Linked DNA regions of Arabidopsis thaliana. The protein of the gene in region 1 purifies or fractionates together with the protein of each later gene. This does not show direct contact. Each region holds a gene or a part of one and is shown on either strand. Other genes may lie near its edges. The genes, in order: AAE3 and XK-2.

Evidence for each region.
Region 2: the proteins of AAE3 (region 1) and XK-2 fractionate together in Arabidopsis thaliana (co-fractionation; one large-scale study listed by BioGRID). This does not show direct contact.

What each region holds. Positions count from the first base shown.
Region 1 is NC_003074.8:18,157,823-18,163,337, forward strand, and holds AAE3 (AMP-dependent synthetase and ligase family protein), read right to left. Parts: upstream 3,665-5,515; 5' UTR 3,473-3,664; coding exon 3,269-3,472; intron 3,076-3,268; coding exon 2,398-3,075; intron 2,279-2,397; coding exon 1,909-2,278; intron 1,660-1,908; coding exon 1,556-1,659; intron 1,398-1,555; coding exon 1,209-1,397; 3' UTR 743-1,208; downstream 1-742. Other genes in the region: AT3G48980 (O-glucosyltransferase rumi-like protein (DUF821)), read left to right, coding at 35-400; AT3G49000 (RNA polymerase III subunit RPC82 family protein), read left to right, coding at 5,081-5,152, 5,227-5,380, 5,473-5,515. UniProt on the Arabidopsis thaliana protein: Oxalyl-CoA synthetase acting exclusively against oxalate. Follows a two-step reaction mechanism, wherein oxalate first undergoes adenylation by ATP, followed by a thioesterification in the presence of CoA to yield oxalyl-CoA.
Region 2 is NC_003076.8:20,150,997-20,157,314, forward strand, and holds XK-2 (xylulose kinase-2), read left to right. Parts: upstream 1-1,734; 5' UTR 1,735-1,901; coding exon 1,902-1,960; intron 1,961-2,078; coding exon 2,079-2,733; intron 2,734-2,807; coding exon 2,808-2,896; intron 2,897-2,977; coding exon 2,978-3,042; intron 3,043-3,227; coding exon 3,228-3,283; intron 3,284-3,382; coding exon 3,383-3,503; intron 3,504-3,594; coding exon 3,595-3,669; intron 3,670-3,756; coding exon 3,757-3,810; intron 3,811-3,899; coding exon 3,900-3,994; intron 3,995-4,080; coding exon 4,081-4,255; intron 4,256-4,345; coding exon 4,346-4,578; 3' UTR 4,579-5,617; downstream 5,618-6,318. Other genes in the region: AT5G49640 (uncharacterized protein), read left to right, coding at 421-633; AT5G49645 (uncharacterized protein), read right to left, coding at 520-579. UniProt on the Arabidopsis thaliana protein: Mediates 1-deoxy-D-xylulose (DX) phosphorylation in the cytoplasm prior to the translocation of 1-deoxy-D-xylulose 5-phosphate into plastids. Can also phosphorylate D-xylulose (Xyl). Uses preferentially ATP as cosubstrate.

The DNA.
Region 1 (5,515 bases):
ATGTTACCCTCTCACCGTTCTTTTCTCTTACCAGGCACAAGACATAGGTAAGAAGGCAAGTGAGTTTGTGCAACAAGAACTCAAGATGGACTATGTGTACGATTACATGTTTCATCTCTTAATCCAATACTCTAAACTCCTCCGGTTTAAACCCGAGATCCCTCAGAACTCCACTGAGCTCTGCTCAGAGGCAATGGCATGCCCGAGGGATGGAAATGAACGAAAGTTTATGATGGAATCACTCGTAAAACGCCCAGCTGAGACAGGTCCCTGCGCCATGCCGCCTCCGTATGATCCGGCATCATTTTATTCAGTTTTGAAAAGGAGACAGAGTACGACTAGTAGAATCGAACAGTGGGAGAGTAAGTACTGGAGGAAGCAGAACAAGACCGGTTCGTAAAATTAGATTGGCGTATAAAGTTTTGGTGTGTAGAGTAAAAGCACTTGTCAGAATTGTATCGAGTAGTATAAATTAGAAAACATGCGATCTTTATTTTCTTCTCCGTTTTTTTGGTAGAATTTTAACTAATCCATTCTGTCTAGTGAATTCGACGATACAAAGTTTTAATCGGTAATAAAAGTAAATAAGTTTTGTACGGTTTGATCTTATATCTCTATGACTATGCCTGAATCTAGGAAAATCCTTATGGTAAATGTTTTATCCTCGTATTGAGTTCTATATTGAAATCACAAAGTTAACTTTTTTTTTTTTTTTCTTCTATCACAAAAGTTAACTTTAAAATTCAAATTTGGAGCTCAAGTTCAGAATTAGTTAGCTATAACATGGAATGGAACATAATTTGGGACATAGTGAAAGTCTACCTGTCCCACTAAACGGTCGGTTTGTTCAACGAACCAAACGCTTTAAAAAGTGACAATGTAATATTTGTCCTTTGGCTTTACCCGTTTTGGCAGTACGCTTTTAGTTGTCAAATTGGCCATTAGATCAAGAGCATCAGTAACAAAAAGACGCAGAGACAACACCAACAAAAAGAAACTCTCCTTTATTGTTGTACTTCAATAATCACTTATCGACTTTTATTTCCACTTTTGTGATTTAATCTATAACCTTTACCACCATGAAACATATAAAAAGTAACTTTTAAACCAAGAACCAATAATAGAGAACGCATATCCATTTGCGTGAAAAGTGAAAACTAGGACTCATCACCGATGATTTTCGAGCAAGATGGTGTTTTCTGTGTGTTTCAGGGCTTCTCAAGGAAATGTTGTGCGACGATACGGCGCTGAATCTTACCAGAGGCAGTTTTGGGGAGGTTATCAGTGATGAACACTCTCTTTGGCACCTTGAAAGCTGCCAAATTCTTCTTACAAAACGCTTTAATGTCCTCTTCGGTTACAGTAGTTCCTTCTCTTGGAATCACCGCACAGTTAATCTGATAAACCAATAAACCAGGGAAACACAGCGTTATTAACAGCTCATTGATAAGTAAGTTCACATGATGTTTGATGATTCTGCAGGACATAATGGTAGATAAGGGAGACCAATTCATAAATTCAAATTAGAGACAATTTAAGCACAGGTTTTGTTTACCTCTTCCCCATATTTCTCATCAGGAACACCGAATGCAACACCCTGAGAAACGTCAGGATGCGTTAAGAGTACTGCATCCACTTCAATTGGAGATATCTTCTCACCTGAAATAGATTATAATTAAGTACACATAGAAAATCTAACTCATTCATACAAAAGATCATGATACTGCACAAAGTAGCCTCTTTCTTTGTCTTGTCTCATTTCTAATTTGTTGGAGGGTTTTCTTTGACAAGTCTAACATAGTACTGCACAAAGTAGCCTCCACCGAGACTATACAAATAAACTGCTAGACATAGACTAGTATTCTTGTGAAACAGTAAAGCCATCAAAATAGAGTAAATGAGACTAACCTCCACGGTTAATAAGCTCTTTGATCCGACCCACCAGATGCAAATACCCATCGGTATCAAAGTAACCGATATCACCAGTGTGGAACCACCCAAACTCGAAACCTGCCTTGTTGGCTTCTGGGTTATTCTTGTAACCCTTGGTCACATTTGGACCTCTTATACAAACCTCTCCTTTGTTATTTGGCTCTTGGATCTCGCCTTTCTCATTAAGGATCGCCATTTCTTGACCTACCGGTTTCCCAACAGACCCAGGCTTGTGTGGACCTTCCTCTGGTAAGGGGTTTGAGCTCATCAAATGTGTTGCCTCTGTCATTGCATAGGCCTCGAGCACCGGTGCTCCAAACGCTTCCTCAAGCCTGGACAATATCACCTAACAAAAACCAAGACAAAATAAGTCATTAAGTTATTGAAAGCCAAAGCAATCCAACGTTTTACAAAACACTGTGCATTACAAACGCCTCAACAATTGACTGGAAACAAGAGCATTACCGGAGCCAAAGAAGCACTGCAACTCCTGATGAACCGGAGTTTAGGATATTCCGTCTCAGGGTGGCTCGCGTGGCGGTCCAATATGATCTGATGAATGGTCGGCACAGCAGTATACCATGTAGCGTTATACTTCTTCATATCTGGCCAAAATGTTGTTGCTGAGAATCTACCAGCAGCTGGAAGAGTTACAGCAGCACCAGCTCCAAGCGAGCTAAGCAACCCAGCTAACAATCCATGAACATGGAACAGAGGGAGAACAATCACCGTAGAATCAGACTCAGTAAGCTTGTACACAGCTTTAATGTTCTTGACGGATGAAGCTAGATTGAGCTGCGTAAGCGGTACACCCTTTGGACGGCTCGTAGTGCCAGAAGTGTGGAGGAAGAGAGCACCGTCGTCCGGGTGATTAACGAGTTCCGTCGCTGAGTCAACGACGGAATCTGAATCCGCAACGGATAGTACAAGGTCCGAGCCAGCGTCAAGCAGCGTAGCGGTGACGTGAGAGATTTTCAGCTTTGAAGCTGCTTCTTGAGCCGGTGCGTTTCCTTCTTTAGAGGTTAACAATAGCTTTGAATCTGAATCGGAGAGGTAAAACTCAAATTCCTCCGCCGTGTACGCTGCGTTCAACGGCGCCGCCGTGGCTCTAGCTCTTATCACCGCTAAAAACATTATAACAAACTGAAAACAAAAAAAAAAAATCAAAACCAAATTCATCCAAAAAAATCATCTGAATCCGGAAATCAAAATTTCTCAATTAAGAAGCGATTTACAGATATTCATAAATTCTGCTTCCCATGTGATTCTTCAGCACGCAAAACAAAACCAGAAACGAAGCTTTTAAATCGAAATATATGAAAACCTCTTAAAATACCTCGACGGTGTTAGGGAAGGTGAGAGCAACGACATCGCCGGGTTTGATTCCAGCGTCGGAGACAAGGCGTGAAGCGGCGCGTTCGATTAGATCGTGAAGACGCGCGTGAGTGAGATTGAATTTTCCAGAAACGGAGAGAGCTCGGCGATCGGGGAATTTTTTGGCGACGTTTTCCAATAATCCTGAGAGAGTATCGCTATCCATGGTTACGTCGGAGAGATAAACACGAGAGTAACGATGATGAGGAAGGAGAGAATGTGAAAGCAGAGAAGAGAGCAAATGCGATATTTATAAATTTATATTCAATTACTACAGTATCTGTGGAAGCAAAAAATGGCTAAAAGATGATGCCACGTGTTATCATCGTAGCGGATTTTCTATTGATCGTGTGGTCATAATGTTTTCATTTTTAATTATTTTGTTAACGGTGGGAGTCGCTGATATATATCCTTACGATTAGACCGACGTTTCGGTTTTTGAAGAGGTGGTTTTTTTAATTTCGATTCCGGTACAAACACTGAACCGAAACGGCTAGTTAATTAACTTTTGAAAATATTTTTTTTCGGCAAGCATGCGATAGTAATTTACGGTTTATGAATTATTTCATAGGAATTTGAAATAGTTTGTGTATGTATTATCAAACAAAAGAATAGTTTCATTAAAAAAATAGCCTATGAGTGTTTAATCACTTTTAGGGCCTTTGCACATGTGTCTTTGACTAGGATTATCACGTTTCGAAGATGCTTGACGTTGTTTATACTTTATATTATAAATAGAAGATAACGTCCTTATTTTGATTGTTAATAAATTAAATTGACCAAGGTAAAAATGTAAAATTAAAATAAGAAATGGTAAAAATGACTTTGAATGATAAGAATAAATATATTATTTATAGAAAAAAAGTAGAAGACTAAATATAATGAGACATATATCTTTTTGAAGTAATCAATTTTGTTTTGTCTATACATACAAATTATTATATTATTTTATTTGGTTTGATACATGCACACTATCTAACTAAACAATAGTGGATTTGGATAATTATTCAACAATGAAACTAATTTAAACCACTAAACATGCGTAGCTTAGAAGAGAGTCAGAGTAGAATTTACTAATCAAAGATTTAGTTTACCTTGTTATTTGTTAAAGATTAAAATTATGTATATGATTATGAATAGAAATACAAAAATCTCGTATAGATGAAAACGACAGTGTTTTAAAATATAAGTCATATTCATGAAGCTGAAAAAGTCATTTTCCATTCTCCTAACTAAGTAAAAACATGGTCTTCATGTAAGCCGTCACATACAAATACAATAGAAGAATTTGGTTTGTGTTTGTTCTTCTTAAGTAGAGCATTGTCATCTGGCCCAATCATTGAAAATTCTCAAGTACATTTCGTTCCATCACTAATTTTTTTTCTTGGGTCAAACCATACATTCAATTTATTAGGGCCTGATAGGCCCAAACTTCTCTAGGCCAACAATTAATAACCTACAATTAGGGATGTTAAAATGGGCTAAATATTTAAGGCCGGCCCGAGTCCTTATAAAAAACAAAAGCCCTAGCCCTGGGTTGGTGTTTTCTTATACTTATATTGGTGGGTTCATGTTAGATTATCGAAATTTTGGATTCGAACGTGTGGATCGCTGGAAAAATTAAACTTTAGGGTCGCTAGATTACGATTGCTTCGCTTTTTAGTAGTAGTAGGCTACAATCGATTGGCAAACATCTCTATATCGGCCATAACTCCGTCAAGCTCTGCAGAGGCTGCTTCATCAGTATTGAGAGACTTCCTGGTGATTGATTCTCATGTCTATGTCTGAGTTTGGCATTGTCTACGCCATCCATATCATCACCGTCCAATTCGGCTCCGTCGTCTCGGTAAATTGAGAAACCCTTCTGAGACTTGTGTTGAATTTATAATCTCTGTATAACGAATTTGGTTTTGGTTGCAGAAAGTTTGTGAATGTCTTCTACGTAAAGGACCTCTTTCCTCACGAGACATCTCTCGTTTAGCTGAATCAGATATCAACCATAACAAAGTTAAAGATATTCTCTATCTCTTGATTCAGCACAATTGTGTTCAAGCTTTCTCCATTGAACCTCCTGGTTAGTCTCTATATTGTTTGATTAGTAGCAACACACAGAAATAGAGAACTCAATGAAAGTAATTTTGTATGTTTTTTTTTTTTACTTTGTAGATGGTTCTGAGAGCAAAGCTATTGTACAGTATATTGTGTTGTT
Region 2 (6,318 bases), on another chromosome or scaffold:
AAACCGTGACATAAACCAGATATATTGGATGGCAAATTTGGATCTCATCCAAACTTGAAAACTGCCAAAACATACTGGAAAACGAAATAAAATAGAGAGAATATCCGGTAGGAGATATTTTTAAAATTTTCACATTAATTAACTTTTTTGCGTTTTCTTTTTTTTTGTTACTGGAATTTTATTAATCAAGCCAAACATGTTTACAAAACCGGATAAACCGGAAACTTAGCCAGAGACTTTAACAGGAAACAGAGCCCGACTTTAACGGGAGACAAAGCCGGCGAACAACAAGATGTCCCCGGAAACAAAAGCTCAAACGAGAGAAACAAACGAGGGAGACATAACCCTAAAGTACAGGGAACCAACTTACAACCAAAAAAATTAGCTCACTAAGAGAAGTCTACAACCAATGCACTAAACATGACCACATGTTCCAAAGAGAAGCCTACTAAACCTTCCTATAGAAACTGTGAACGCCAGATAGCATCAGGAAGACCAGATAAGACACAACACCAAAGCCTAACCAATCGCAACACCGACAAGGAAGGCAAAAGGCTTCACCCGATACCAAGGAATCATGAACCACTAGAGCCAAGTCACACCATAGCAGACGGAGATAAAGAGACAGGCTAGGAACAAGGAGAAAACCTTGTGATTCGGCTTGAGACAAGTCAAAGAAGACCAACAGCTCTTACACGCGGACACTCGTCGACCCAGTTTCAGCCATCTACCAACAAAAAACTGGTAACCTCCTCGCAAGAGAAGAACATGTGATCGTTCCACTGTGACGCCTGTAGCCCAACTTCAAACCTCAAAGAAGCTAGAAAGGAGCTTGTAGATGACGCTGCAACGAAACACCATCCAAAAGACAAGCACAACCCGTAACCTAGCCAAAAACAAAACCACCAAACGCCCAAGAGGACCCAGCAAAGCAGAAGAGCAAAGGACATAAAGGCAATTCCATAACCAGAGAGAAACTGACTTGCGCAAAACACAAACCAAGAAGGATCTCTGAGCTTAGCTAATTCAATTGGTTAAACGCAACAAAACAAACCTAAAACTAGGAAAATTAACACAAACGAGCCAAGACTTAGCAAAACCAAGGACAAACTATGAGCAGAGACTAAATTACCCAACCAAAGGCAACCTAATATTAGCCTAAGACAGAATCGAGACTACATAGCTTCCACTAGATCAGGTATGTATAAGATGAAGAAACCAAACCTCCATCTCCAAAAACAACTGCCGTAACAGTGAAGAACCACACGGGCTCCGACAAAAACACCAACCACCCACGGAGAACCAAGCGACACCATCACTAGAACGGAACCAACCTTCCAATCGAAGCACAACCATCTAGAATCTCGTCTTTAATCCGCCATAGGAGGAGCCAGAGAAGACCCAAAACAAAGGAAAAGCAAATAAAAGACAAACAGACACACCCTCTCTGACTCCGGCCAAGGGCACCAGATAATCAGAAAGGTAACGTCAGAAATTTGAGAAGAAAAGTTTGGTGGTGGCTAGACCTAAAAAAATCGCCTCTCAAAGGCCGTAGAGCCAAACCTTTTTATGTTATAGAAAACTTTTTTGCGTTACATTGATATTAAAATTCTTCTAAACGAAACAATATAAATTAATTTACTCATGATTTGTTAGAAATATTTTTTATTTTTATTTTGTGTACATGACGTGGATAACTAATTAAGGTTAGAAAACAAAATCCAACAATCTGATAACAATTAGTCACTAAATATTCGGAGTAATGACTAATGACCTCCGCTCTTATCCAAAATACTGATTAGTGTCTGTTTTAAATGATCCTACCTTATAAAAACGACGACACATCTCTCTCTCGTCTTCTTCTTCCTCTAAACCTGTGAAAAACTTTGGATCAATCAACAATGGCGGATCTCTCTCTTCCTCCCGATTCCCTCTTCCTCGGCTTCGACAGCTCTACCCAGTACGTCCCCCTTCCTTTACTATTGTTGCTATCTCTCTGATTTGATCACAATCAGTCTTCGATCATTTTGAAATTCGTTAGTTTGGTCGATCTGAATCTTGTTTGTTTCCATTGAAAGGTCAATGAAAGCAACTGTGTTGGATTCGAACCTGAACATTATCAAAACCGAACTCGTTCATTTCGATTCTGATCTTCCTCAATACAAAACCAAAGACGGGGTTTACAGAGACACTACTGTAAACGGAAGAATCGTATCTCCAACTCTCATGTGGGTCGAAGCATTTGATCTCATTCTCCAGAAGCTCTCTAACGCCAATTTCGATTTCGCCAAAGTTATCGCTGTTTCAGGCAGCGGGCAACAACACGGTAGTGTGTATTGGTCAAAAGGTAGTTCTGAGGTATTGAGATCATTGGATTCAAAGAGATCATTGAAAGAACAACTCGAAAACGCTTTTTCGGTTAAGGAATCTCCTATATGGATGGATAGTAGTACTACATTGCAATGTAAAGAGATTGAGAATGCTGTTGGTGGAGCTATGGAGTTGTCGAAGATCACTGGCTCTCGTGCTTATGAGCGGTTTACTGGTCCGCAGATACGGAAGCTTTTTATGACTCAGGGGGAGGTGTATAAGAGCACGGAGAGGATTTCGCTTGTTAGCTCTTTTATGGCGTCTTTGTTGGTTGGAGATTATGCTTGTATTGATGAAACTGATGCTGCTGGGATGAATTTGATGGATATTGAGAAACGTTGTTGGTCTAAAGCTGCGTTAGAGGTTTGTTGTGGGTGACTTTGAGGATGTAGTTAGATATTTAAAAATGGTTGTTTGTTGATAGGTTTTGTTTGCAGGCTACAGCGACAGGTTTGGAGGAGAAACTTGGGAAGTTAGCTCCAGCTTATGCTACTGCTGGTTCTATTTCTCAGTATTTTGTTCAGAGGTTAGTATCGATTGTGATCAGGATGGATATGATATGCACTTTCACATGTCAGATTCAGAGATTCTTTTGGTTATGTTGCAGGTTCGGTTTTGAAAAGAACTGTGTGGTTGTGCAGTGGTCGGGAGATAATCCTAATAGCTTGGCAGGTACATATTCAACAACATAAGCTTGGGGAGAAGTTCCTATGCATTTTCAAATTGTTATTGACTTGGGCTTTTGAGTAGCAACTGCGACATTTATGATGAAATGGAGAGTGTATCTTGCGACTGGATTCTGTCTGTGTTTGTATATGAATTACAAGGTACCAATGAGGCTATACCATGTCATGCAGGTCTAACTCTTAGTACTCCTGGAGATCTGGCGATCAGTCTTGGAACCAGTGACACGGCAAGGCTCTTGATTCTTGTCGAGCTTGCTAGTTAGTTAATCCAGATATAGACTAGTGTTCTTACCATTTCACATGTCGAACATTATAAACTCTTACAGGTATTTGGGATTACCAAAGAACTTCAACCCAGTCTTGAGGGTCATGTGTTACCTAATCCTGTGGACCCTGAGAGTTATATGGTGATGTTGGTTTACAAGAATGCTTCTCTCACCCGGGAAGGTACTCATGACTGCAAACTCCCACTCTTATCTGTTCTTATGTGCTTTGTTTGATCCTCAGAGACAATCAAGAATGTGAATTTCCATTTCAGAAATTCGTGACCGTTGTGCTGAGGGATCTTGGGATGTTTTTAATAAGTATTTGCAGCAAACACAGCCACTAAACAGTAAGTTGCTATTTCATTATCCTTCAGGTGTCCATCTATAATATATTCAGATTCTTTGTTTTCTAAATACACTACTGGATCCATTAGATGGGAAACTCGGCTTCTACTACACTGAAAATGAAATTCTGCCCCCACTTCCCGGTATTTGCTTGAGTTATTCTCCTTTCCATGCTATTGGCCTCAGCAACATGCTGTAAGTTTGCTTTACTAATGCTTTTCTCAATGCTTAGTTGGCTCTCATCGTTACATTCTTGAGAACTTCTCTGGTGAGTCTCTTGAGGGTGTGAAGGAACAAGAGGTCGGTGAGTTCGACCCTCCCTCAGAGGTAAGCAAGCTTATACACTGTTCTCTATAACATCCACAGGGCAATTACATAGTTCGATTTCATCCCAATGTATTGTTTGCTGTCAGGTTAGGGCATTGATTGAAGGTCAGTTTCTTTCAAAGCGGGCTCATACTGAGAGATTTGGTATGCCCTCCCCTCCCCTCCGAATAATAGCAACCGGAGGTGCATCTGCTAACGAGAATATCTTGAGTCTGATCTCAGCAATCTTCGGATGTGATGTATATACTGTCCAAAGGCCTGGTAACTCTTGAAACATACAAAACAAGTTGCGGCTTATACTTGCTTGATCTCCTTTATAGATTGAACAAAGTGTTTGTTTGTATGCAACAGATTCAGCATCACTTGGAGCTGCACTAAGAGCTGCTCATGGCTGGCTCTGCAACAAAAAAGGAAGCTTTGTACCAATCTCAAATCTCTACGAAGGGAAATTGGAAACAACATCTCTGAACTGCAAGCTCAAGGTAAAAGCAGGAGACGCGAACATTGCTTCCACCTATGGTTTGTTGATGAAGAAGAGGATGGAAATAGAGAACAAGCTTGTGGAGAAGTTAGGCCACTTCTGAGAAGAAAAAAACTCACTACTCAATAATTCAAATAACTTAAAGAGTTGAAAGAATAACAAGTTCTATCTACTAAAACTAAAAGACAAGTTTGCTTGTTGCTCAAAATAAAAGCAGAATACGATCTTACGATCTCTGAGTAACAAATGATTCGTAAGACATTGCTCTTAATCTAGTTTATGTCATACACTTAAATCATTGAGAGACTTACATACAATGAGACACAAACAAAATCAGAAGAGGCCATAAATTGTTAGTAGTCTTCAAAGAGTGAGAAAGAAAAAAAGAACATAAACACGACAAAAATGATCTGCAGAAGAAATGATATAAAGATTTTACATTTCTGGTTGAAAAAATTCAAAGAACAAAAAAAAAGCTAAATCTTCATCTCCTTCTTCCCCATTCGCAAATGTCACTCCAAAAACAAAAAAGTAGATTTTTTTTTTATTTTTTTTAGTCAAATTAAAATATAGAAATCAATTATGCCTGGCTCCAACCTGTCTGCCTTTTTCACATAGGAACGACCCAAATCTCTTTTCTCAGTCACTGTCGCGTACATCATCAATGTCGAGAGTACAGAGAATGTTGTCTTAATCAAGCACTGACAGTCCGGTACTTTGTTCCGCTCGCCGCCGCCGATGATGGATTACGGCGGCGGCGGCGGCGAATCGCGGTTGCTTCTCAGGTTCTCTGTTCAAATGGGTGTTGAGATGGAAAGAGAAGAACGGATTTGATATAAAAGCAACGGCTAAAGATAAGAAGAGAGAGAGATCATTGGAAGATGAGAAGGCATTTTCAAAGTTGCAAACTTTTGGTGTTGGTTCAGTTTTTTTTTTTTTTCCTTCGTTTTTGCTTTACGGTTCGAGACACCGTTTTGTCTCCCCAAGGAAAAAAAAATATTGGTTACATATTTCAAAGTTTTGTAGTCTCTTTACGGTAAACAGAAAATTAAAATTTCATGCCACGAGAGAGAGAGGGGTATATTTAATGCAAACTTAAATTTGATCTGTATCAGCCTAAAATTAGAATTAGCTCTAACCTAGTCTCTCAACTTGGAGAAAAAACAAACCTAGTCTGAATCTCACAAGTCAGTCATAAATTTTGTGATCTAATGGAAAATAAACTTTTTTAAAGTGGTGTTTTGTTCATATAAAATACAACTCTTCAATGACACTAATGTTGTTACACTTTTAAGTTTTGGACCAATTTAATCGTTTATGTGTACATCAATAAGATTGCAAAAGACACTTTTAAGTTGAGATTGTTTTCTTTCTCCTCAAACGACAAATATCATCAATGGGATTATGGTAAAAAGTTTGCTCCCAAGCTTCAATTCACACATAAGAATTGAGTGTAAGGGAGCAATACAAACAAAGTTAAATGGAAATTTAAGGAGCAAACTACTAACAATGGTAAGTTAAATGGAAATTTAAGTTGAAAATAGTTACTAGGGGATAATTTAGCTCAAATTATAGCGATGGGAACCACGGGGAAGGTTGTGCTATGACTTAAAGAGACACTATTCAAAAGTTTACAAGGTTTGAGGAGTTGAATGCTAAACTTGACAAGTTCTTGAAATTGAGTCAAATACCAATTCTTGGTTTAGAAGGATACAAAATGGTACAAAAGATATCAAGGATGAGCATTTGAGGAAAAACAAGAGAATTCAACGAACACCTACCATTTCTTACTAGAGAAACATAGTTAAAATCTTCTACATCAACTTAGGATACTAAATGTGAG